Coturnix japonica: one gene and its partners. The protein of the gene in region 1 binds, or shares a complex with, the protein of each later gene. Links are inferred from orthologs where the notes say so. Each region holds a gene or a part of one and is shown in the gene's direction. Other genes may lie near its edges.

The links.
Region 2: SF3A1 (region 1) and DDX46 share a complex: the UniProt entries of both Homo sapiens proteins name them as parts of the 17S U2 SnRNP complex. The link is inferred for Coturnix japonica from reciprocal best matches to the Homo sapiens genes SF3A1 and DDX46.
Region 3: SF3A1 (region 1) and SF3A2 share a complex: the UniProt entries of both Homo sapiens proteins name them as parts of the SF3A subcomplex of the 17S U2 SnRNP complex. The link is inferred for Coturnix japonica from reciprocal best matches to the Homo sapiens genes SF3A1 and SF3A2.
Region 4: SF3A1 (region 1) and SF3B1 share a complex: the UniProt entries of both Homo sapiens proteins name them as parts of the 17S U2 SnRNP complex. The link is inferred for Coturnix japonica from reciprocal best matches to the Homo sapiens genes SF3A1 and SF3B1.

The regions. Positions count from the first base shown.
Region 1 is NC_029530.1:9,663,061-9,668,399, forward strand, and holds part of SF3A1 (splicing factor 3A subunit 1), read left to right. Parts: coding exon 1-124; intron 125-573; coding exon 574-767; intron 768-1,413; coding exon 1,414-1,531; intron 1,532-1,647; coding exon 1,648-1,833; intron 1,834-2,190; coding exon 2,191-2,312; intron 2,313-2,473; coding exon 2,474-2,716; intron 2,717-3,421; coding exon 3,422-3,632; intron 3,633-4,414; coding exon 4,415-4,569; intron 4,570-5,226; coding exon 5,227-5,328; intron 5,329-5,339. UniProt on the Homo sapiens protein: Component of the 17S U2 SnRNP complex of the spliceosome, a large ribonucleoprotein complex that removes introns from transcribed pre-mRNAs.
Region 2 is NC_029528.1:2,452,545-2,457,883, forward strand, and holds part of DDX46 (probable ATP-dependent RNA helicase DDX46), read left to right. Parts: coding exon 1-105; intron 106-1,203; coding exon 1,204-1,321; intron 1,322-1,823; coding exon 1,824-1,989; intron 1,990-2,282; coding exon 2,283-2,434; intron 2,435-2,717; coding exon 2,718-2,831; intron 2,832-3,404; coding exon 3,405-3,570; intron 3,571-3,834; coding exon 3,835-3,955; intron 3,956-4,312; coding exon 4,313-4,488; intron 4,489-4,925; coding exon 4,926-5,047; intron 5,048-5,339. UniProt on the Homo sapiens protein: Component of the 17S U2 SnRNP complex of the spliceosome, a large ribonucleoprotein complex that removes introns from transcribed pre-mRNAs.
Region 3 is NC_029543.1:1,223,465-1,229,452, reverse strand, and holds the start of SF3A2 (splicing factor 3A subunit 2), read left to right. Parts: upstream 1-2,038; 5' UTR 2,039-2,095; intron 2,096-2,917; 5' UTR 2,918-2,968; coding exon 2,969-3,094; intron 3,095-3,499; coding exon 3,500-3,571; intron 3,572-3,890; coding exon 3,891-3,937; intron 3,938-4,540; coding exon 4,541-4,650; intron 4,651-5,285; coding exon 5,286-5,335; intron 5,336-5,479; coding exon 5,480-5,620; intron 5,621-5,988. UniProt on the Homo sapiens protein: Component of the 17S U2 SnRNP complex of the spliceosome, a large ribonucleoprotein complex that removes introns from transcribed pre-mRNAs.
Region 4 is NC_029522.1:44,428-48,776, forward strand, and holds the end of SF3B1 (splicing factor 3B subunit 1), read left to right. Parts: intron 1-569; coding exon 570-842; intron 843-1,301; coding exon 1,302-1,518; intron 1,519-2,492; coding exon 2,493-2,651; 3' UTR 2,652-2,974; downstream 2,975-4,349. UniProt on the Homo sapiens protein: Component of the 17S U2 SnRNP complex of the spliceosome, a large ribonucleoprotein complex that removes introns from transcribed pre-mRNAs.

The DNA.
Region 1 (5,339 bases):
TTCCAGGAGCGAGAGAGAAAGAAGGAAGAGGAAGAGAAGGAGAAGGAGCGTGTTGCTTATGCTCAGATTGATTGGCATGATTTTGTGGTTGTGGAAACAGTGGACTTTCAGCCCAACGAGCAAGGTACTGAAGACAGGCATTGTAACCTCTTGGAACTGTACTTCCTCTGAGCAGAGCATTGGTTTTAGGAAGACATGGGATTTTACAGCTGTGTAGCCTTCAAAATGGAAAGGATAGCTTCCTAATGATGGGATAGGGCTGAGTTTCTTCTGGAATCAAGTAGTATTCTGTGGCAGTGTCTGCTTTTCCATCTTGAAGCGGGACAGCAAAACTTGTCCCATATTCTGGTGGTGCTTTCACCTATAAATGTCTTCATCTCCAGCTGTTGTTATAGTGTTAGTCTGGACAGAGTTTAAAACAGAGTGACTATATGCCTCTAAAATGGCTAAAAAAAAAAAAAACCAACAACAAAACGAAACCAAAAACTGTTTCTCAAGAAATTGGTGCTTCTGTCTTCCCATTATGCAATCAAATGGGACCAAGAAACAAAAGCTGTGTTTTTTGCACTGTAGGGAATTTCCCACCTCCCACCACTCCAGAAGAGCTGGGAGCTCGAATCCTCATCCAGGAGCGCTATGAGAAGTTTGGGGAAAGTGAAGAGGTAGAGATGGAGGTGGAGTCAGATGAAGAAGATGAAAAACAAGAGAAAACAGATGAGCCTCCAACCCAGCTGGATCAAGACACGCAAGTGCAGGATATGGATGAGGTAGGTAGCCAACAGAATTGGCATTATTCTTGCCCTGTGAGATTTGTGTGGGGTTTATTACGTCTTCATTATAATACGTTGCTCAGTATATTGAGGGAATTGAGATTTCCTTCCGATTGAGTTTAAAAATGACCTGTTTCTGCTGAAATACTGGAATATGGTGTATTTAATATTCTCTGTGGCAATACAATTTACAAGAGAAATCTGGGAATTCAGTCACCCGGTGAATTGATGTGAGGTTATTTCTGTCATCCAGTCTTCTAAATTTTCTTACACACTAGGGTCTGGAATGTTGAAAAGATGTCTCATTTCAGACTCTTCCTTTTAACCACTGCATATAATCAGTTTTTCTGTTAGCAAGAAACAAGATCATTGAGACTAACTGTAAGCCCTGGCTTGCCATGCTGTGGTAATGTGGAAGCTGAGGCTTACTTACTTCCTTTTTTGGGTCTGCTTAATTTTTGAGTTTGTGATTACCAAAGGAACCACTGTAGTAGAGGTGTCAAGAGGCGAAATAGCTCAGTTACTCTGAAGCTGCATAATCAGTCCTTGTGGTTTTGCATAGGATTTTTTATGGTGCTCTCAAGTCTTTTATGGGGCTTTTTGACTACTGGAGCATGGTTATGATTTTCTTTCTTTAAATCAGGGTTCAGATGATGAAGATGAAAGTCAGAAAGTTCCTCCTCCTCCAGAAACTCCAATGCCACCACCTCTTCCTCCCACACCAGATCAGGTCATTGTGCGGAAAGATTACGATCCCAAAGGTAAATCAAGCTGGCAAAGATCAGCTGTATTTCTTAACGAATGATCACAAAGGCGTTTGTTTCTAGGCTGCATTTTCTGGTGGTGTGCTTTTAACAGTGTGGTTTTGTTTTTCCAGCTTCAAAACCGTTACCGCCTGCCCCAGCTCCAGATGAGTATCTTGTTTCCCCCATCACTGGGGAGAAAATCCCTGCCAGTAAAATGCAAGAGCACATGCGAATTGGTCTGCTGGATCCTCGGTGGCTGGAGCAGCGCGATCGGTCTATCCGTGAAAAACAGAGTGACGACGAGGTCTATGCCCCAGGTCAGCTTGTGCATCATTGACAAGGCTTGCGAGTTCCCCATCCTAAATTCCTTCTGTGAACATTTTAGTGTGTCTCCTCTCCCCCGAGTTCCTGCTGATAGGGACTGTTTTAAATGTAGCTTTCTGTCTTATGTCCTTAGTGTTCTGATTATCCTGATACTTTTGTTGCTAGTACATCAAAGCCTTTCTGCAAAGATAAGAGCAGAGCATTAGCTGCTGCTGGCCAGTCGTCAGTTGCAGTCCCTTTCTGAAAAGAGGAGCTCTAGGCCATTAGGTAGCAAATAGTTTTAAAGATCATATAGTCAAGGATCAAGTCTCTTTTTATCACTTAGAGGAAGAATTTCTTCTTGCTTGCAGGTTTGGATATTGAAAGCAGCTTGAAGCAGCTGGCAGAGCGCCGTACCGATATCTTTGGTGTGGAAGAAACTGCCATTGGTAAGAAGATTGGTGAAGAGGAAATTCAGAAACCAGAGGAAAAGGTAGAGTGGAAACTGCTTTAATAGGTTCTTGTAGTATTACGAATGCTCAGGATTCTTTTAGACCTTACTACTGTTGTAAAACTGTTGTGCTGATCTCTCTGTAGTTCTCATTATAGTCTGCCCAGGCTGGGATTGCTCTGATGTTTTTTTTATCCTGACAGGTGACCTGGGATGGCCACTCAGGCAGCATGGCCCGCACACAACAGGCTGCTCAAGCCAATATTACTCTTCAAGAGCAAATTGAAGCTATCCATAAGGCCAAGGGACTGGTGCCAGAAGATGACAGCAAGGAGAAGATTGGTCCCAGCAAACCCAATGAAATGCCCCAGCCACCCCCTCCTTCATCGGCATCGAATCCTCCTCCGAGTGCTCAGCCTATCACTTCTGTGCCTCGTCCACCCACAGTAAGTGCTGGGGCTTCCATAAGTAAAGCAGCTGTGGGCATGGATAATTGGAAGGAAGTCCTGACAAAGCTCCACAGTTACAGCAGTGTACTGGCTAGAAACAGATGTTGGGAGAAGTTAGTATTCCAAACTGCTCTTAAGCCTTCGTAGGATCCTTATTAAACTTGCAGTTAAAAACTGAAAATAAGGTCTAGGTGGAGTTATTAATCCTTAGCTGTATCAAGAAGACTCAATGGGTTGCACAGGGGAAGAGCCTGGGTGGTGATGCCTTGGGAGAGGGAAGTATGGCTAACAAATGAATGGATTGGGACCTTTTCTTTTTTAAAACATTTAAAAAAAATAAAGAGATGAGGCAGAAAAACTAAGAAGTGGCAGATAAGAAATGTTCACTGATGACTCACTGCCCGTGTTCTCCTGGAGTAAGGGCTTTGCTGCAACTCTTTCTCTAAGATCGCTGCATGTCTCACAGTCCCTGCAGCTGAGAGGAGGAAGAATTGCTTGATGTGTTAATGAGGTTCTGTGCCTGTTTGCAGGAGGCTCAGGCTGGCCATACGGTGGGCTTGTTAAGGCTCCCAGCAGGCCTTTGCCTGGTAGAAATCCTCACTGTGTTGCCCTGGTGATTTTAATTTAATCAGAACTGTGGGCAGCACTGGGATGCTCATTCCTGCGTGCAATTGCTAAGATAAAATGACCTTCTCTCTGCAGATGCCTCCTCCTGTTCGTGCTGCTGTTGTTTCTGCTGTTCCTGTCATGCCTCGTCCCCCGATGACCTCCGTGGTCCGTTTGCCTCCAGGGTCTGTCATAGCCACCCCCATGCCACCAATAATCCACACCCCACGGATCAATGTTGTCCCCATGCCGCCGTCTGCTCCTCCCATCATGAGCCCTCGCCCACCTCCCATGATAGTACCAACGGGTCAGTGACTTCAGCTCTTTCCAGTTAATTGTCAGTTGATTCCTGTCTGGCGTGGGCTTGAGGCTTGATTCCTTTTTCCCTTTGTGTCTGTAATAGTGGTGTATAATTGGCACTGCAAACCATAAATATAATCTTTTAAGGTTTTTTTTTAATGTTTAGTGTGACTTACCTTATAGCATGACTTCTGGGATTGTCATCTGCTCGAGTGTGGGAGTTCAGTCTTGTTGGTGGGATGCTTTATCTTGGTGTCCCTGGGAGTCTGATTGGGTGAACACTACAAATCCCTGCAGCTTTCCAAGAGGAACCAGAGTAAAGTGGATCTGCCAACACCTCACTGAGTGTTACAGTTTGTTAGGGAAGTTACTGCTGCCAGAGGAAAAGCTGTTATCTGGCTCTGGCTCTGTTCTTTGTAGTGGCTGCATAGCATTGTGGTGGTTTTAAGTTAAGCACAACATAAAAACACTTCTGTCTTGGTTTTTTTTTTCCCTTTTCCTTTTTATTTAAATTGAGGTGCTGGCTGCTAAATTCAGAGCGTTTTCTTTTCTGCAAGATCTGCAGGAAGCTCCCATTCTGCTTGTTGTTTTTTTTCCTGGACTCTCTCCCCTTGTGGAAGATCTTATGTTTGAAGTTCGCATGGTACTGCAGGCTATATTAACTTCTTGCATGAATGGCAACATTTATTTTCAGTCTTTGTTAGTCTGCTAAAAGAGTTCGTGTAAGGGAGTATCTGCTGTATGCTCAGTGGATGACTGTGTGTTGTGCTTTCCCTCATCCCATTCCAGCATTTGTTCCAGCACCTCCCGTGGCTCCAGTTCCTTCCCCAGCGCCAATGCCTCCTGTTCACCCACCACCACCTATGGAGGATGAGCCAGTTTCAAAGAAACTGAAGAGCGAGGACAGCTTGATTCCAGAGGAGGAGTTTCTGCGCAGGAACAAGGTATGTGTGCGAGTGAACTCTCTGCTTGTTGAGAAGTGGAGTCCTGGCCCTGCTGAGCTGTTCAGCCTCCTGTGCTCAGAGGGGTTGTAAAGTCCATTGAGAACACAGAGGGGAGCTGATGTATTTCAAAAGAAAGTGACTTGCTGAGATGGCTCCTTCCTACTGTCATACCTGAACTGCCCTATATTTTACTACAAGGAGCGATGTAGTGCTGCACACAGATGGTGCTGTTCTGTAATTAACAGCAGTGAGAAGTAGGGTTATAGTAATGTAAAGAAGAGATAATGCTGATAAGCTTTTAAGTAGAAGACTGTTAAGCTGGAGGTGCAAGGAGATTTAATATATCAATGTCAACATGGTAGTATGGCAATGTAATATCTTCCGTAACATGAATGAAATGTTAGACTGAATTCCTTTCTGAGTAACAGCATCATGTTGGGTTGGGTCTTAAGCCCTTTAAGAAGGGAGCACTGTTCTCCTGTGCATTTGTTTGCATTATGAAGCCATCTCTTTAGTACCACCGTGTTCACTGCAAAATACTCTGACTTTCAAGATATGTGATTAATATTGGGAAGGTCTGTAAATACTTTGTCTGCTGCTCTTATCGCAGTCCTGAGACTCCTTGCCTGTGAAAGACCTTATCTTTGTTTCCCGTAGGGCCCAGTCACAGTCAAAGTCCAGGTCCCCAACATGCAGGACAAGACCGAATGGAAGCTGAATGGCCAAGTGCTGGTGTTCACCCTACCGCTGTCAGACCAGGTATGTAGCTT
Region 2 (5,339 bases), on another chromosome or scaffold:
GAGAAGAAGATCACGAAGCCGAGAGAGAAGGCGCTCCAGGAGCAGAAGCAGAGGCAGACGGTCTCGATCCCCCAGTCCAAGCAAGAACAGGAAGACAGAAAACAGGTATTTGTGTTCTGTAGTTACAGTCCGGATCATAGTTACTCATTACTGTAAACATACTGATATATTGGAAGGAATCATTGTGCAAAACCAACCAAAGATTTTGTGTATAGAGCAAGGAGAATTTTCCTAGCATACTGTAATTTCCCATCGCTTAATGTCCCTTGAAGGACTAAGTATTTTTATATTCCTTACTTGAGGGGCCGTAAATGCTATTCTGGGTATGCATAATTATTTCTAATGCTGTTTGTTGTGAGAATGTTTTTTGTAAGATGAGTAGTAGATCCACAAGTTCTAACAGCAGTCTGGATAGAGAACAAGCAGGTTGACAACAATCCAGAAATTATGAGCAGCTGGAATGAGTCTTTCAGGATAATCATATGGCTGGCATTAGAATTAATCTTTCAGTGGGCTGTGAAGTGATCTCAATGAGATTTAATTGGCTAAAGTGAATTTTACATTTATTGTTATGAGCTAGCAAACATTTGGTTCAGATACGTTTCTTTTTAATAGGAAACATGTTATGATAACAAAATCTGTGATAAGTGGGTTTTGTTTTAAATGGAAGTCTGCATGTTGCATACGACAAGTACTATATATATAAGTACATATAAGTACTGCTATAAGTAGCTTTTCCCAGATAGAGGTGTTTCAGTGTCCTTAAGGCAGTAGTGTGCAGAGGAACATTCAGACTTCCATAGCAGGAAGCAAGATCACTTTACCTTCTCCTAGAAATAGAAGAAACAGGACATTTTTAGTATCTCTTTTTCAAAGTGCTGCCTTCAAGGAGGTGTAGAATAAACAACAGAACCACAGTACTGAGTGTTCTGTACTGTAAATGCTGCTGCTTGGCCCTGTGAAGAAATGAGAATAGAACCAGAGCATGTGAATGAGTGAATTGCAATAGGCTGTGCATTTCTGGCAGGTGTAGGGCATGTTTCCATAAAGCAGAGAAAGATTCTCTAAAGAGATAATGTGCACTTCATAAGATGTTTGAAAACACAGCCCCATTCAGTGTGTTCGTGGTTTTGTTTCTATCCAACACGTTTATTCCCCCGTGAGAAAAAAATGTTTTAAGAAATCTTTGCTGTTACCTTTCAGATCAAGATCTAAAGAAAGGACAGAAGGTGTGGAAGTTTCCAAAGAAAAGAAAAAAGAGAAAGATGACAAGGAAGAAGAGAAGGATAAAGATGCTGGTGCATCTACTGTGGCCACTGAGGTAGGAGCTCTGAGGATAATCTTCTAACTTTTAAATGTATAAACAAGGAACTGAGGTAGCCATAGATTACTGTATTAACAAAAAAAAAAACTATTCTCAGGATTGGCCAAAATCCCTGCTGAGTTAATGAGTCCCACTCTCTTCTATAACTCCTGTCACAGGGTGTGCTTCCAATTCTTGCCATTAGTAACATTCTGTTTCTACTGTGCTGTCAGCAAGGGCTCCCCATGCATAGATGGGTCCCTTTTTTTGTTGTTCTTGAAGGATTATTACTTACAGAATTGTATACGTGCTACTGTTGTGAAAAATAAAACAGCTGAGTTTTGTATTTTAAAGCACTGTAGCTGCTTTTAGTGTTTTTTGTTTACTCCTGTTGTGATAGGTTTCTGTATGCCCATGGATCAACTTGGTGCTCAGTTACATTTGTTTGGAAAGGCTTTTTGACTGAAGAATAGACAAATGCCAGTGGCCATTAATTTTCACTGGTTGTTTCTTGCCATAGAATTTTGATCAGAACAAACTGGAAGAAGAAATGAGAAAACGAAAAGAAAGAGTGGAGAAGTGGAGGGAAGAGCAACGCAAGAAGGCAATGGAGAACATAGGAGAACTGAAAAAGGAAATTGAGGAGATGAAACAGGGGAAAAAATGGAGTTTGGAAGATGATGATGGTATTTTGATTTTAGATGTAACATTTAAAACACGTTTGTTCCTGATAATATTTTTATTATCTTTAAAGCATTTAAAGACTTTTCAAAAAGTGAACTATGAAATAGCAAAGCCTAAACCTTGTCACGGCTTCAAACATTTTAAGGTAGTGTTGAGATTAACAAATTTGAGAGATTTTTTAATGAAGAAAAATGATACAGTAATAAAAATGGACAGTAATTATTTGGGCAGGCTAACAATGTAACATAGAGTTATTTCCTCTCTGTTTTATTCCTGTTTTTCTTAATCATATTAGATGATGATGAGGAAACTGCAGAAGGAGAAAAGGAAGGCAATGAGGTTGAAGATGAAGAATTAGATCCTTTGGATGCTTATATGGAAGAAGTAAAAGAAGAAGTCAAGAAGTTCAATATGAGAAGTGTGAAGGGTGGAGGTGGGAGCGAAAAGGTAAAATTGAAAGTAGCTTTGTGTTTCAGTATGGAAATGGTTTTGGAAAAAAGAAGGGAAGAAATAGGTTAGATCCATTCAGTGATTGTTTGCCTTGAATTTTCTGATGTTATTAATAAGCTGATAGCAATATCCTCATAAAATTTCACTGCAAGAGATGTATGAAAAAACAGTGTAATATGTTCATAAGTAGAAATATTCTGTATATTTCATACAGCATGTCTTTTATGAGTGATGCAATGATTTCTATTAACTTTTTTTCTTTTTCTTTTCTTTTTTGCAGAAATCTGGACCAACTGTTACCAAAGTGGTAACCGTGGTGACAACCAAAAAGGCAGTTGTAGAGACAGAAAAGAAGAAAGGGGAACTCATGGAGAATGATCAAGATGCAATGGAGGTAATGGAAGTGTCTTGTGAGTATGTATGTGGCAGCTCAGCCTGCATGTTCTAATACATATCTAATATGAAATAAATGTTTTCTGAGGGTTTGCATTTCTGTTTCTTTTCTAGGTAAGTATAAATATGTTTAATTCCAAATGAACTGTAAGTTCCAGGTCTCAAAACTCTTCTTAAACGATAATTCTTTATTTATTTTGTGTCTGACAAATTAGTGGCATGTAGTGGCATAGTAGCTATTCTATACACTCAAATTATTATTTTTTAAATACTGTTCTCTTAATATTTGTACTGTATAGCTATGATTATTTCTGAATGACGGGACTGTTCTAGTTAGTATTTATAAAGTCATAGAAGTGATATGGAACAGTGAAAGTTAAGGTTTGGAAGAAATATGAAATAAATTGATGAGCAAATGATATGGGCTCCTCTCACAGTGAGAGCAGATTTTCAGTATCCAGTTTAATGGGCTAAGAAAAAGCTTTTGCTTCTGAGTCAAGTTTCTGTATAAACAAGTAACAGCATCTCAGAATGTCATTCACAGTAACTTAAACACTCTTAACAATCTATACAGTATTCTTCAGAAGAAGAGGAAGTTGATCTTCAGACTGCCCTGACTGGCTATCAGACCAAGCAGAGAAAGCTGCTAGAACCTGTGGATCATGGAAAAATAGAATATGAACCCTTCAGGAAAAACTTCTATGTTGAAGTACCTGAACTCGCTAAAATGACACAAGAGGGTAAGTACAAGTATGAGCAGAACACATTCTAGTGTGCAAGGAAGTAGCAAATTCTGATTCAGTGTGGAGTGCTCTTGAAGGAGCAAAGAAGTGCTGTACAGCTCAAGTCTTTGGAGTAATTTTGTTGAGAATTTGAATGGGAGAGGGGATTCTTTTTGAGCAACAGAATGAAAATGAGTCAGATCCCTATTACCGATAACCCCATGCTATCTCAAGGTAGCAGATGTCATGTTTGACTCTGTTCTAATGCAAACTCTGTTTCAGAGGTGAATGTGTACCGACTGGAGATGGAGGGAATAACAGTCAAGGGAAAAGGCTGCCCCAAACCAATAAAGACCTGGGTTCAGTGTGGTATTTCCATGAAGATTCTTACTGCTCTCAAAAAGTAAGCAAGCGATGTACAACCCAAGTCATGCTTGGTTTTGTCTACTCTGTTCTATCATACATATGTTAGTGAGAAAAACGTTCTTTGTTGCATAAAGCAACGTGTCCATGTCTGCTGGTGTTACATGTTTAGTCCTCAGTCATTTTGCAGTCAGTATTAAACGGTTGTTACAAACTGTTCTTTCAGCCATTTGTATCATGTGACTGCTCATTTTTAAGATGTTTTTAGAGTGACACCGATGCTTAGAAGTAAATAAGAACGTGCACATTTCTTCTAGCATGACTGTGATATATGTCCATCAAATCATATTTTGATCTTACAATCTCTTTTTTTGACGTTTCTCTCCCCTTCTTTAAGACACGGCTATGAGAAACCCACGCCCATTCAGAGCCAAGCTATCCCAGCAATTATGAATGGTCGCGACTTGATTGGCATTGCTAAAACAGGAAGTGGAAAAACTATCGCCTTTCTATTGCCCATGTTCAGGCATATTATGGATCAGAGAGCTTTAGAAGAAGGAGAAGGTCCCATAGGTACAAAGCTCTTGTTTTCAGAATTGCTATTTAAGTAAACAAAAGCTCGTTCTTATGCTTTGGAAGGTTCTTCAGTTTTTCTCTTGTTTGTGGGAGTGAATGCTTGCTGTTGCTATAATCCATTAATGAGCACCATGCTGTTTGTTGTTGCTTGTGGTCACTCTGCTATTTAATGCTGTATTAAGAGCACTTGCATATCTGTATCTCTGCAAGGGAGGCCTAGATTGATTTTGAAACTTCAGCACATTTTCTCATGCTGTCATAGCTCTCTTTCTTGAAATTGTATCTTTAAAATAATAGATATTAATACGCTTGGGAGCGAGCTGCATATATTTCACACAAATGCTTTGAACTTCATTACAAAAGCTTATTTTTTATTGCTTAAATAACAGCATTCCTTATATTGCAGCATATGATGGATATGCTTTGCATTTCAGCTGTCATTATGACACCTACTCGTGAGTTGGCCTTGCAGATTACCAAGGAGTGCAAGAAGTTCTCAAAGACCCTTGGACTTCGAGTTGTCTGTGTTTATGGAGGAACAGGAATAAGTGAACAGGTATGTGTTAGACATACGTTACTTGTCAAACAGCTGTTGGACTTCTTGTTAATCAATGCTACTTTTGAAGTGGATATAGTTAGTTCTCCTTCCCATAAATTCCATTATGTTTGCAACATTTATTCTGAACTTTCTCTGTATGAACAGCACCAATGTAAAAGGTTAAATGTTTGCATGTAACTTAGTTCTAAACGTAGCAATATGTTTGAAAATTCTGAAAAGTGGTCTTTAATATTTCAGACTGTTTCTTTTTATATATGCACCGAGCATAACGATAATTAAACTACTTTTG
Region 3 (5,988 bases), on another chromosome or scaffold:
TGTCCTCTAAAGAGTCTCTGTGTGCTCACAATCAATGTGGGTTTGAGTATTCCTTTCTGTCCCGCAAAGGCAGCGATAAAGTTTACTTCCTTGCAGAGTAAATCGAACAAAGATAAACTGTTTAACATTTGACTTCCTAAGGGCGGCCTTCGAGCTTTGCAGGAGGTTAAAGAACAGTGTGTGTGGATGAAGAACAGCTCAGGACAAGGAAGCAGTTGTAGGGACAGGCTGCCAGCCAGCACATACTGAGCAAGGACATGAGAACCACAGGGTGGAATGAGCCACAAATGAAAACCTCTCGCTTTTTGTTTAGTTTGGACATAGGATTTCAATGGGGGGTTGACTGTGAATCAGGCAGCAGCCGTTGGTGCTGAAGCACCTGTTTGAGGGCCAGTTTCCAGTGCATCAGTTCTACGTTGGCAGTTACCCACAGAAACAAGAAAAGAGCATTTCTCAGCACAGAGCTGAGCCGTGATCGGGGTTAAATATTCATTATAAAGGTTATTCTGTGCTGATTCAGGATCTTTAGAACAGGAGGATCTTTAGCAGCCTCGGTTTTATGTGAGGTCTGTAACTACACGAGACAGAGTCCAGCTTTTGCTGCTGTAGGGCGATGGTTGTGTTTGTAGAAAGCAGCAGGGTGTGGTTTGCTGGCACTGCTTCTCCTCACCCCCACCGAGGAGCCTGAACTGTGCAGGGGGAAGGGAGGACGCCGTGTTGCACTGATCCACAGAGCACACGTGATAAACGTGAAGCAAAAAGGTGCGTGTGTGTATCTGTGTGTGTGTGAGGAGCAGCAGGATCCGAACCTCAGCTTCATCCGTCCTGAAGTAGAAGAGAAAGTTCACCACGAGCTTCACGAGGCGCTTCTTTAACACTGAAGAAGGAAAGGAGTGATGTGACAGCGAGCCCAGCGTGTGTGGGGCCCCCAAACCATCCCAGCACTCCCAGCATCTCCATTTCCATCCCAGTGCTTCCACCCCAGGACTTCCATTGTCATCCCAGCGCTCCTATCCCAGTACACCGTTCTGATCCCTGTGCTTCCATCCCAATACTCCCATCCCAGCACCTCCAGCTCCATCCTAATACCCCAATCCCAGCACCCCCAGCTCTGACCCAGTACTCCCATCCCAATACCCCCAATTCCATCCCATTACCACCATCCCAACACCCCCAGCTCTATCCCAACACCCCCATCCCAATACCCCCAGTTCCATCCCATTACCCCCATCCCAATACTCCTGTCCCCACCCCAACACCCCCAGCATTATCCCAATACCCCCATCCCATTACCCCCATCCCAATAACCCCAGTTCCATCCCATTACCCCCATCCCATCATCCTATCACCCCAACACCCCCATCCCCATCCCACCCCCAGCTCATATCCAATACCCCCATCCCAATACCCCATCCCAAACAAAACCCCAGCTCTGCCCCAGCACCCCCATTCCAACAGCCCCATCCTAATACCCCCAGTTCCATCCCAATACCCCCATCCCAACACCCCCAGGCTCTATGCCAATACCCCATCCAATACCCCAGTTCCATTCCCAATACCCCCATCCCAATTACCCCAATTCCATCCCTTACCACCATCCCAACACCTCCAGCTCTATCCAACAACCCCCATCCCAACACCCCAGCTCTTGCCCCAGCACCCCCAATTCCAACAGCCCCATCCCAATACCCCCAGTTTCCATCCCATTACCCCACCCCATCCCACCCCCACCCCATTACCCCCATCCCACACCTCAATCCATCACTCCCCATTCCCACCCCCAATTAACCCCCCCATCTTCCACCCTCACCCCCTTCCCACCCCCCCCTCTACCGCTGCCCCTTCTTGGGGACCCTCATCATGGATCTCTGCCGCTTTCTCTGCCGGTTGCCTGGACAGGACAGCAAGCTCCCGTTCGTTGTACCTCATGTCGGACCCCAAACGACCACCCCAACCCTACAAACCACCCCTAACCCTACAACCACCCCAACCCTACAACCACCCATACCCGACCCGGTAGTGCTCTATCCGGAACTAGAGGGGATGGAAGGGGGAGGGCAGAGCGCATGCGCCGGGAGCGGGGCTGAGCACGGCGGTATGGGGGATTTAGGGGGAGGGGATGTGGGGCTTAAAGGGGGGATATGGGGGAGTGAGACCCTCATTGAGGGGATGGGGTGGTCTGGAGGGGGGTCTTGGGCCCTGTGGGGGATTGTTTCGGGGCAGTGACCGTCGCTAAGGGAATAAGGGCCTGTGGGGCCTATAGAGCCTGTGGGGCCTATGGAGCTTATGGAACCTGTGGGGCCTGTGAGGCCTATGGAACCTGTGGGGGCTGTGGAGGCTGTGGGGCCTATGGGGCATGTGCAGCCTATGGGGCCTATAGAGGCTGTGGCATATGGGCCTATTTGGAGCCTGTGGGGCCTATGGAGCCTGTGGGGCCTATGGAGCCTGTGGGGCCTATGGAACCTATGGAGCCTGTGGGGCCTATGGAACCTATGGAGCCTGTGGGGCCTATGGAACCTATGGAGCCTGTGACCTGCACTGGAGAATGAGGGGGGTGAGGGGGCTTAGAGGGGTTCTTAGTGGAGGGACAGGACCCTCCAAAAGGAAACTGGGGGGCTATAAGTGGCATGGAGAGTTCGGGGGGTGTTTGTAGGGGGCTTTGAGGTGAGCTTTGGTGCTCGCTGAGGGAATGGGGGTGTTTAGAGGGGGGTGAGGGGGTGTCTGGGGGGTTGTGACCCCCATGTTAGTGGCTGGGGGGTGTGTGACCCTGTGTGAGAGGGTAGAGGTGGGCTGGGGGTGGTTTTGTCTCTTGCTGAGGTAATGGCAGTGCCTGGGCCGTGTCCTCGTGGCAGGGCTCAATGCGAGGCCCAGCTTAGGGCTGTGTTGTCACTTATGTGTCTTTTCTTCATTTTTCCAGACTTTTATTTTATTTTTCTCCTGAAGTCTCCAAAGCCCAGAAATCCCCACCATGGATTTTCAGCACCGTCCTGGAGGTAAAACGGGGAGTGGAGGCGTAGCTTCAGCCTCAGAAAGCAACCGAGACCGCAGGGAGAGGCTTCGGCAACTGGCTTTGGAGACCATTGACATCAACAAGGTGAGCCCCAGTCCTGCAGGCTACATGGGGTGAGGTCAGGGCTTCATCTCAGCAGAGAGTGAGAGGTTTAGTGGGGATCTGTGGAGTGGAATAAATACTTCTGTTCCCACTGATGAGGGACTCGAGCAACATGTGGAAGGGCCAAGCAGAGGGATACCAGCACTGGGCTTCTGTTATGTTCAGTCTTGGCACTGGTTCTTATTATGCTGCAGTTGGGTGTGCTGTTACCAGTGAACACAACTGCTCTTGTTCCTTTTTCTCTATATTCCTAAAGCAGTGTTGTGCTGATCCCTTCACTCCATGAGCTCATAGAGTTCTTACAGTGCAGCTCTGCTTTAGAATCTCGGTTGTTCAGTTGTTCCAATGCAGATTTTACATGTAACTTTTCAATCCTTCTCTTCCTAGGACCCCTATTTTATGAAAAATCACTTGGGTTCTTATGAATGCAAGCTTTGCCTGACGCTCCATAACAATGAGGTGAGTTGAGCAGCTGTCTGTCTTGATCTCCATGGCAGCAGATATTTTAGACTAATTCTAGCTCCAAGTGCTGGAACCGAAGCTGTTCCCGTTGGCTGATTGCTGGAGGGCCAATGGGGGGAGCAGAGGCTGTGTGTGTTAAGCATGACAAGTTTCTGACAGTTCAGCAGTTGTGAGCAATCTGAAATTTGTGAGTTTGATTCTGCTGTGCTCTGAGGATTAAAATATCTTTGTCAGTGTGAAATGTCACCTCTCATCTGTGACAAATATCTTTCTGTTCAGGAACAGTTCAGTCTTCATAACTTTCTTTTCCCCCCAGGGAAGTTACCTGGCACATACGCAGGGGAAGAAGCATCAGACCAATCTGTAAGTCATTCTCCACCGTGTTATTCTCCATTACTTGGGCACATTAAAATTAGATAATGAGCACCTATAAATCTTGGCCTCCATCATGTAGTAGCACTCTGGGCTTGAATGCTCTTTGTCTCTGTTTGTTTCCTAGGCATTCACCAGCTCTGCTCTGAACAGTGGTGCTGACAAGCTCCACTTCAAAGCCAGCTATGGCATTTAGATTAAGTATAACTGTAAGGGAAGCTGTTTTATGAATACAGCTTGAGAAAAGTTTGTAAGCTTTAATCTAAGAATTCAGGTTTGCTCTGCTTTAGATACCTGGCTTGTGTAATTCATTTCCTTTTTGACTTTTAAGAAGTCATCTCAGCTCCATCTGTGGAGCTGGACATCAAAGTCCTCTTAGGAGTGGGTGAGGTGATGGAGGTGACAGATTGTAGTCAAGGCAAGGAGTGGAACTGGCCTCCCATGGTGCTTGTGGAGGAGGAGCAGCAGTTTCCCATTATGCTTTCTGTGAAGTGCTGAATGCTCCGTCATACAGAACTCACTCTGCCTTTTAGAGTATCCTTCAGAACCAAGTGCTGATAACCATTTAACACTGCGCGTTTCCAATGAACCCAGGGCTCGTCGAGCTGCCAAGGAAGCAAAGGAAGCTCCTGCCCAACCTGCACCAGAAAAAGTCAAAGTGGAAGTGAAGAAGTTTGTGAAAATTGGACGACCAGGTTACAAAGGTTTGTCAGCAGTGCCTGTCATAGCAGATACCCCGTGGCTGCTGGAGCTTGCTTGAAGTGCAGTGCTGTGGGCATGAATTGTTCATCAGCCTTTTTAGCAGAGCTATCCATAAATAAGATATGGGCTTATCTCCTGATGTCCTTTATTGTTTAAATTACCCATGGGTTGTCTCTTTATTGCTGACAGTCGAGTGAGAGCCATTTTAATAATAGATCAGTACGTCTCAGTCTCTGTCAGTTCTTACTGTAGTCATATGGGAGATGGTGGCATTGCTTCAGTCTCTCTTTCCCTTTTATTGTGCTCTGCCATCTCTATTATGGCAGAGCAATATACTATTGCTCACAAGTCACCCACTGGATGTATAACTCAGTTTTTTTCCCCTCTGTTTCATTTTGGCCTTCAGTACAAGACATGGCTTCTTTATCTCCATGCATATTGTGTCAGTGTCTGTGCCCCACAGCAGCTGCATTTCAGTAGATACCCTCAGGAACTTTGGCTGAAGGCATTGTGGCATTTTATTTAATAAATAGGAAACAAAATCCTGTCATGTTTTGCTGTTTGGATCTTCCTAGGGCTGAAGTAATACTGTACTGACCTTTATGTAGTGTACTGAGCTTTCTTATTTTCTCTATAGTGACCAAACAGAGAGATCCAGAGACAGGCCAGCAGAGCCTTCTCTTCCAGGTAAGATCAGATTCTTGGTTTCTGGGTTATCCAAGTAAAAACGTGGCTAAATGAGCAGTCAGAAGCTTCCCTTGAATTCTTGCATAGCTGAAGAGTTTGTTCTGTATGGAGGAGTGTTGTAAACCTGCCATAATACCCCAACAGATCGATTACCCGGAGATCGCAGAAAGCATCATGCCTCGCCATCGCTTCATGTCAGCGTATGAGCAAAGGATTGAGCCCCCTGATCGGCGCTGGCAATACCTCCTGATGGCAGCAGAGCCCTACGAAACCATCGCCTTCAAGGTAATGTTTGGGACTGACTGATGGCAGGGAGAGTTCCCATATTTTCCAGGACATTAGTTCCCAGTGATGGCCGTCATAGACTTGTTCTGTTTTAGCCTTTGGGGAGGTTAATGGCCTGGAAAGGAAGGTGAAGAAGACACGACTGGAAGTTGTTAAACTCTGCTTGAGAATTACTGGAGGACTCTGGCATGAAAACCGGGCTCTGCGTTGAGCTCTGGGGAGCCATTGAATTCTTAGTGTCTGGAGCAAAAAGGATCCTCCTGGTCTCTGCTCTCAGCCTTTGTGCAGATGTTTAGAGGGGTTTTTTCTGCCAGCATTCTTGTCCTTGACCGATAGGGAAGTAACTCAATTCTTTGCTGCCCCCATCT
Region 4 (4,349 bases), on another chromosome or scaffold:
GTGCTTTTTTTGATTAGCACGGGGTTTGTTTATTTTACTTCCACAGTGAAGTATTGCAAGTCAGCAAATCATTGCTTGAAGCACAAATCCTGTTTCTCTGCACACTCTTAAATGAGTGACCAGCTATTGATTTCAAGCAGAAATAACCAGCTAGCAAGCAATGCACTAACTGGGCTTCTCTGTGCCTAGTTGCATATCTCTGTCAAAAGTTACCTGGAATTCATATGTTAAATTGTTTTCAAGTTTTAATTACCTGTGGGATCAGAGTAATAACGGGAAGGCTACTACTGTCTCCTGGAGTTGGTTTACAAACTAACTACAGGCTGAACAAAAGCTAAGTTTAGAGAGAGAGTTGGTGTGTTTTGGTTTCTTAATAAAAAATAGGTGATTTAAAAAGAAATGTCTTGAGCTTGCTTTTCTCTGTTGCTATATTATGGTTTATGGTGTTCCTCAGGGACTTCCTGAAGGGCTAAGCCGCATTCTTGCGCTGTTTTCTGTTTCAGTGTCAACTAATTTACCTGCATTCTCATCAAATATATTGACGTATGTGTACGTATTTTCTCTTCCAGACCTCACGATGTCTTGGCTACACTGCTGAATAACTTGAAAGTACAGGAAAGGCAGAACAGAGTATGTACTACTGTAGCCATTGCTATTGTAGCTGAAACATGCTCACCTTTCACAGTGCTGCCTGCACTCATGAATGAATACAGAGTTCCAGAACTGAATGTCCAGAATGGCGTGTTGAAATCTCTTTCTTTCCTGTTTGAGTATATTGGAGAGATGGGAAAAGATTATATTTATGCCGTTACGCCATTGCTTGAAGATGCTTTAATGGACAGGTGAGTGCAATTCTTTCTGCGTATGGTCCAGTTAGGCACAGTCACATTAAATATGTAACTGGGTCTTAACAGCAAATAATCTCTTTGTCCTTGTTGGCTAAAAATTGCTCAGTAACAAACATTGTTATTACAAATAATTCAGGTTATATACTCCTATTTTGCTAACTCTTTTGAAGATGAAAACGGTAAAGCCATTTTAGTTGATATTTGCTGTGTTAAAACCACTTTTAATCATTTCTGTTAGTCCCCTTGCTACAGAGTTTATAGCGCAGTAATGGCCAGAAAACTGTCCTTTGAATTAATCTGTGTTTGGTTACTTTGCCTCTTAGTGTCAGTAGATGTGTGTTAAAAGCATATATCGATGCTTTGAAAATAATGTAATTGAAAATAATCATGATGCTTGGCCAGGTCTGTTGCTTCTAAGTTTGATTTACTAACACACCGTTGTTTTCTTTTCAGAGATCTTGTACACAGACAAACAGCCAGTGCTGTGGTGCAGCACATGTCTCTTGGTGTTTATGGGTTTGGCTGCGAAGATTCTCTTAATCATTTGTTAAATTACGTATGGCCTAATGTGTTTGAAACCTCTCCGCACGTCATTCAGGCTGTCATGGGGGCTCTGGAGGGCCTCAGAGTTGCTATTGGCCCTTGCCGAATGTTGCAGTATTGTCTGCAGGTATGTGCTTGGGCAGCAGTTACCAAACAGGCTTCTGTCACCTGTTGGGAGCATATGGGATGGGAGGGAGCTTAGAGCAACCTGCTCTAGAGGGAGGCCTATAGCAGAGGGGAGGAATTAGATAATCTTAAAGGTCCCTTCCAACCCAAACATTCTATGATTCTCTTTAGGAGATGAGAAGTCAGCTGAAGGAGATTTCCAGTAAAGGAAAACAGTCTGGCTTTTCATCTCTTAACATGCTGTTCTGTGCTGAGGATTTTGATAATGGAAACATGCAATGAGAACTGCTTTCTTTTCTTTTAGTGAGATAACAGATTGTCCTGGGAAACTTGCATAGAAATAGCAGCATAGAAGTAGCAAATGAGTTAGAATATAAAGGGACTAAAAATTGGCTCTGACTTGTGAAATAGAAGCATGCAAATTTGAGGACAGCTAATAATGATTGGGGGAATAAATTATTAGTGCAGAAGGTGTGATGAGAACAAATAACGAGCAGCATTATTAAAGAGAGGATAGGATTGATATTTGATCCATGTTATGTTTTTCTAGCCAAAGAAAACAGTAAGATGTTTAAATCTGTTTAAGGGCAAAGTGTTAGAAAATGGTGCCTGGATCACAATTTATACCACTGCATCCATGCTCGTCTCTCCAGCTTCTGTGAATGCATTCATGGAGGTAGAATGTGCAGGCTCCTTTTCTGTGTATTTGAGTGTAACAGTTAGAAATAGATCCAGTGCAATTTCTCCCTACAAAAACCAAAGAAAGGAATGTCTCCGAAATAATGTTTCCTTAATACTTGCTAGTTTATGTGCTCACAAAACTGATAGTTACATGTTTATTGTGGTTTGTTCCTAATAATTGATGGTTAAGTATTATCACAGTGCTTTTCAAATGGTTCTTGTTTAAAACGTGGTTAAAAGCACTAACAGGCTTTTAGAATGGAGGCTTTGATTAAGTGTTTTTTTGTTTTCTAGGGTTTGTTTCACCCTGCCCGGAAAGTCAGAGACGTTTATTGGAAGATTTATAATTCCATCTACATTGGCTCACAGGATGCTCTGATAGCACATTATCCAAGGATCTATAACGATGAAAAGAACACCTATATTCGTTATGAACTTGACTACATCTTATAATCTTCTTGTTCTGTTGTTTGTGTTTAATGCACAGCTGTTCTTCACATAAATGCTTCAGATTTGATGATGTAAAGTTTTAAAGTATTGGAGCTGAGTATAGAACTGGTCAGAGACAGAGGTAGGAATCCAGTAGCATGATTTTTTAAATATGTCCTTGTTTTTTGATGTTAAACAGTTAAAGCCAGTAGTGACCAAGAAAACAGTGATTACAGTATACAGGAGGGATTTCATTTTTCGTTCATCTTTATGAAGATTTAGGTTTCATTCCTTGTGTTTAAAGGGGTTGTTTATTTGGGAAATAAACATTTGTGTATAAAATCTAATTTGTGTGTGGTTTTTGGACTGAGAGGCTTGTCAAACGAGTCTCTGATGGATTTCAGTATTTGTTCATGTAATAAGCAGGTGGCGTCGAGCATTTTAGCCCTTTTGTCATCCCCTAACTTTTGAATAAATAAGAAAAATATCCAAACTGTAGTTAACGTGTGTATCTTTGTCGTGCCATAATTGAGCTGTACTCGGGCTGGCAGTTGTAGTGGTGGCAGTTTGTTTTCTTGGAAAAAATAGTAGTGAATTGCTTGTTGGTTCTGCTGCTTCTGCATTACAGAATCACAGAATGACCTGGGTTGGAAGGGACCTCAATTACCCTGGATGTAGGGTTCATTTGTAGTAGTAGTAGTGTGTGAAATCACTTGTATGACTTCAGCAATCACAATAAGTTCTTGTAGCTACAGATAGGCTGCATAAAATGCCAAGTGATGCTTATAGGCTGTGCTGTGATTCCTTTGAAGAGTGAAGAAAGTTACTGGGCACCTGAGGTGAGACAAATTCAGAGCGTGCGTATGTGACATGGAGAACGTGAATCTCATCGGCTTGAGATAAAAAAAGTTTCATGTCCTTCTTTGTTCTTTTCCTTCTTTCCTGTGCATGTACTCAAGAGAAAGAAAAAGGACATGGTGCTACTTGACGGTATGCCACATAAAACACAAGGCTCCATCATTCTGGTGGTGTTGGATAGTATCTCATGTCCATAAGAGAACACAACGAATACTAGTGATTGGATACCAGGTGTATTCTTCTTGTCTGTTTTTAAGTTGGGCAATTAATTTCCATCTCACCAGTGTTGCCAGCTGACCTCTCTTACACGAATGTGAGATTGTTGAGCATATAAGGGAATTCCACCTTACCTCTCGAGACCTACGTTTCTGTTTGGAGATGGGGGTGCAGAGTGGTGGCAGCTTGGTTGTTTATGAAGGTACTGATTTGTTAGGAACTGATTTTTTTCTGTAGTAGTGGTATACATCCTACATAAAGATTGAATTAATTGTTCTCTGAATTGTTTGCTCCAGTTTTAGTAGTGTTTTCTCACTAAATAATTCCATTTATTTTATAGATGTCCCACCACCTTTGCTTCTTCAGTAGTTCTGCAGTATAGGACAGGGTAAGTGCCAATGGAGAGGGCGAAGGGTGGAAATAAAGCACCTTTTTTGACAAGATAAGCCGAAATAGAGCACAATAAATACTGTACATTCTCAGCTACAAACAGCTGTTATTGAACAGAGTCACTGCCGCTAGCTCTGCTTTATCACCAGCAATGAACAAGAGCCTTGGACGTTCTGGAAGAAGCAAGTCAGTTGAGATAAGCGCAGTTAAACCAGGAGCATCCTTGTGAGGTTCTGTTAGCATTCCTTTTTTGAAGCT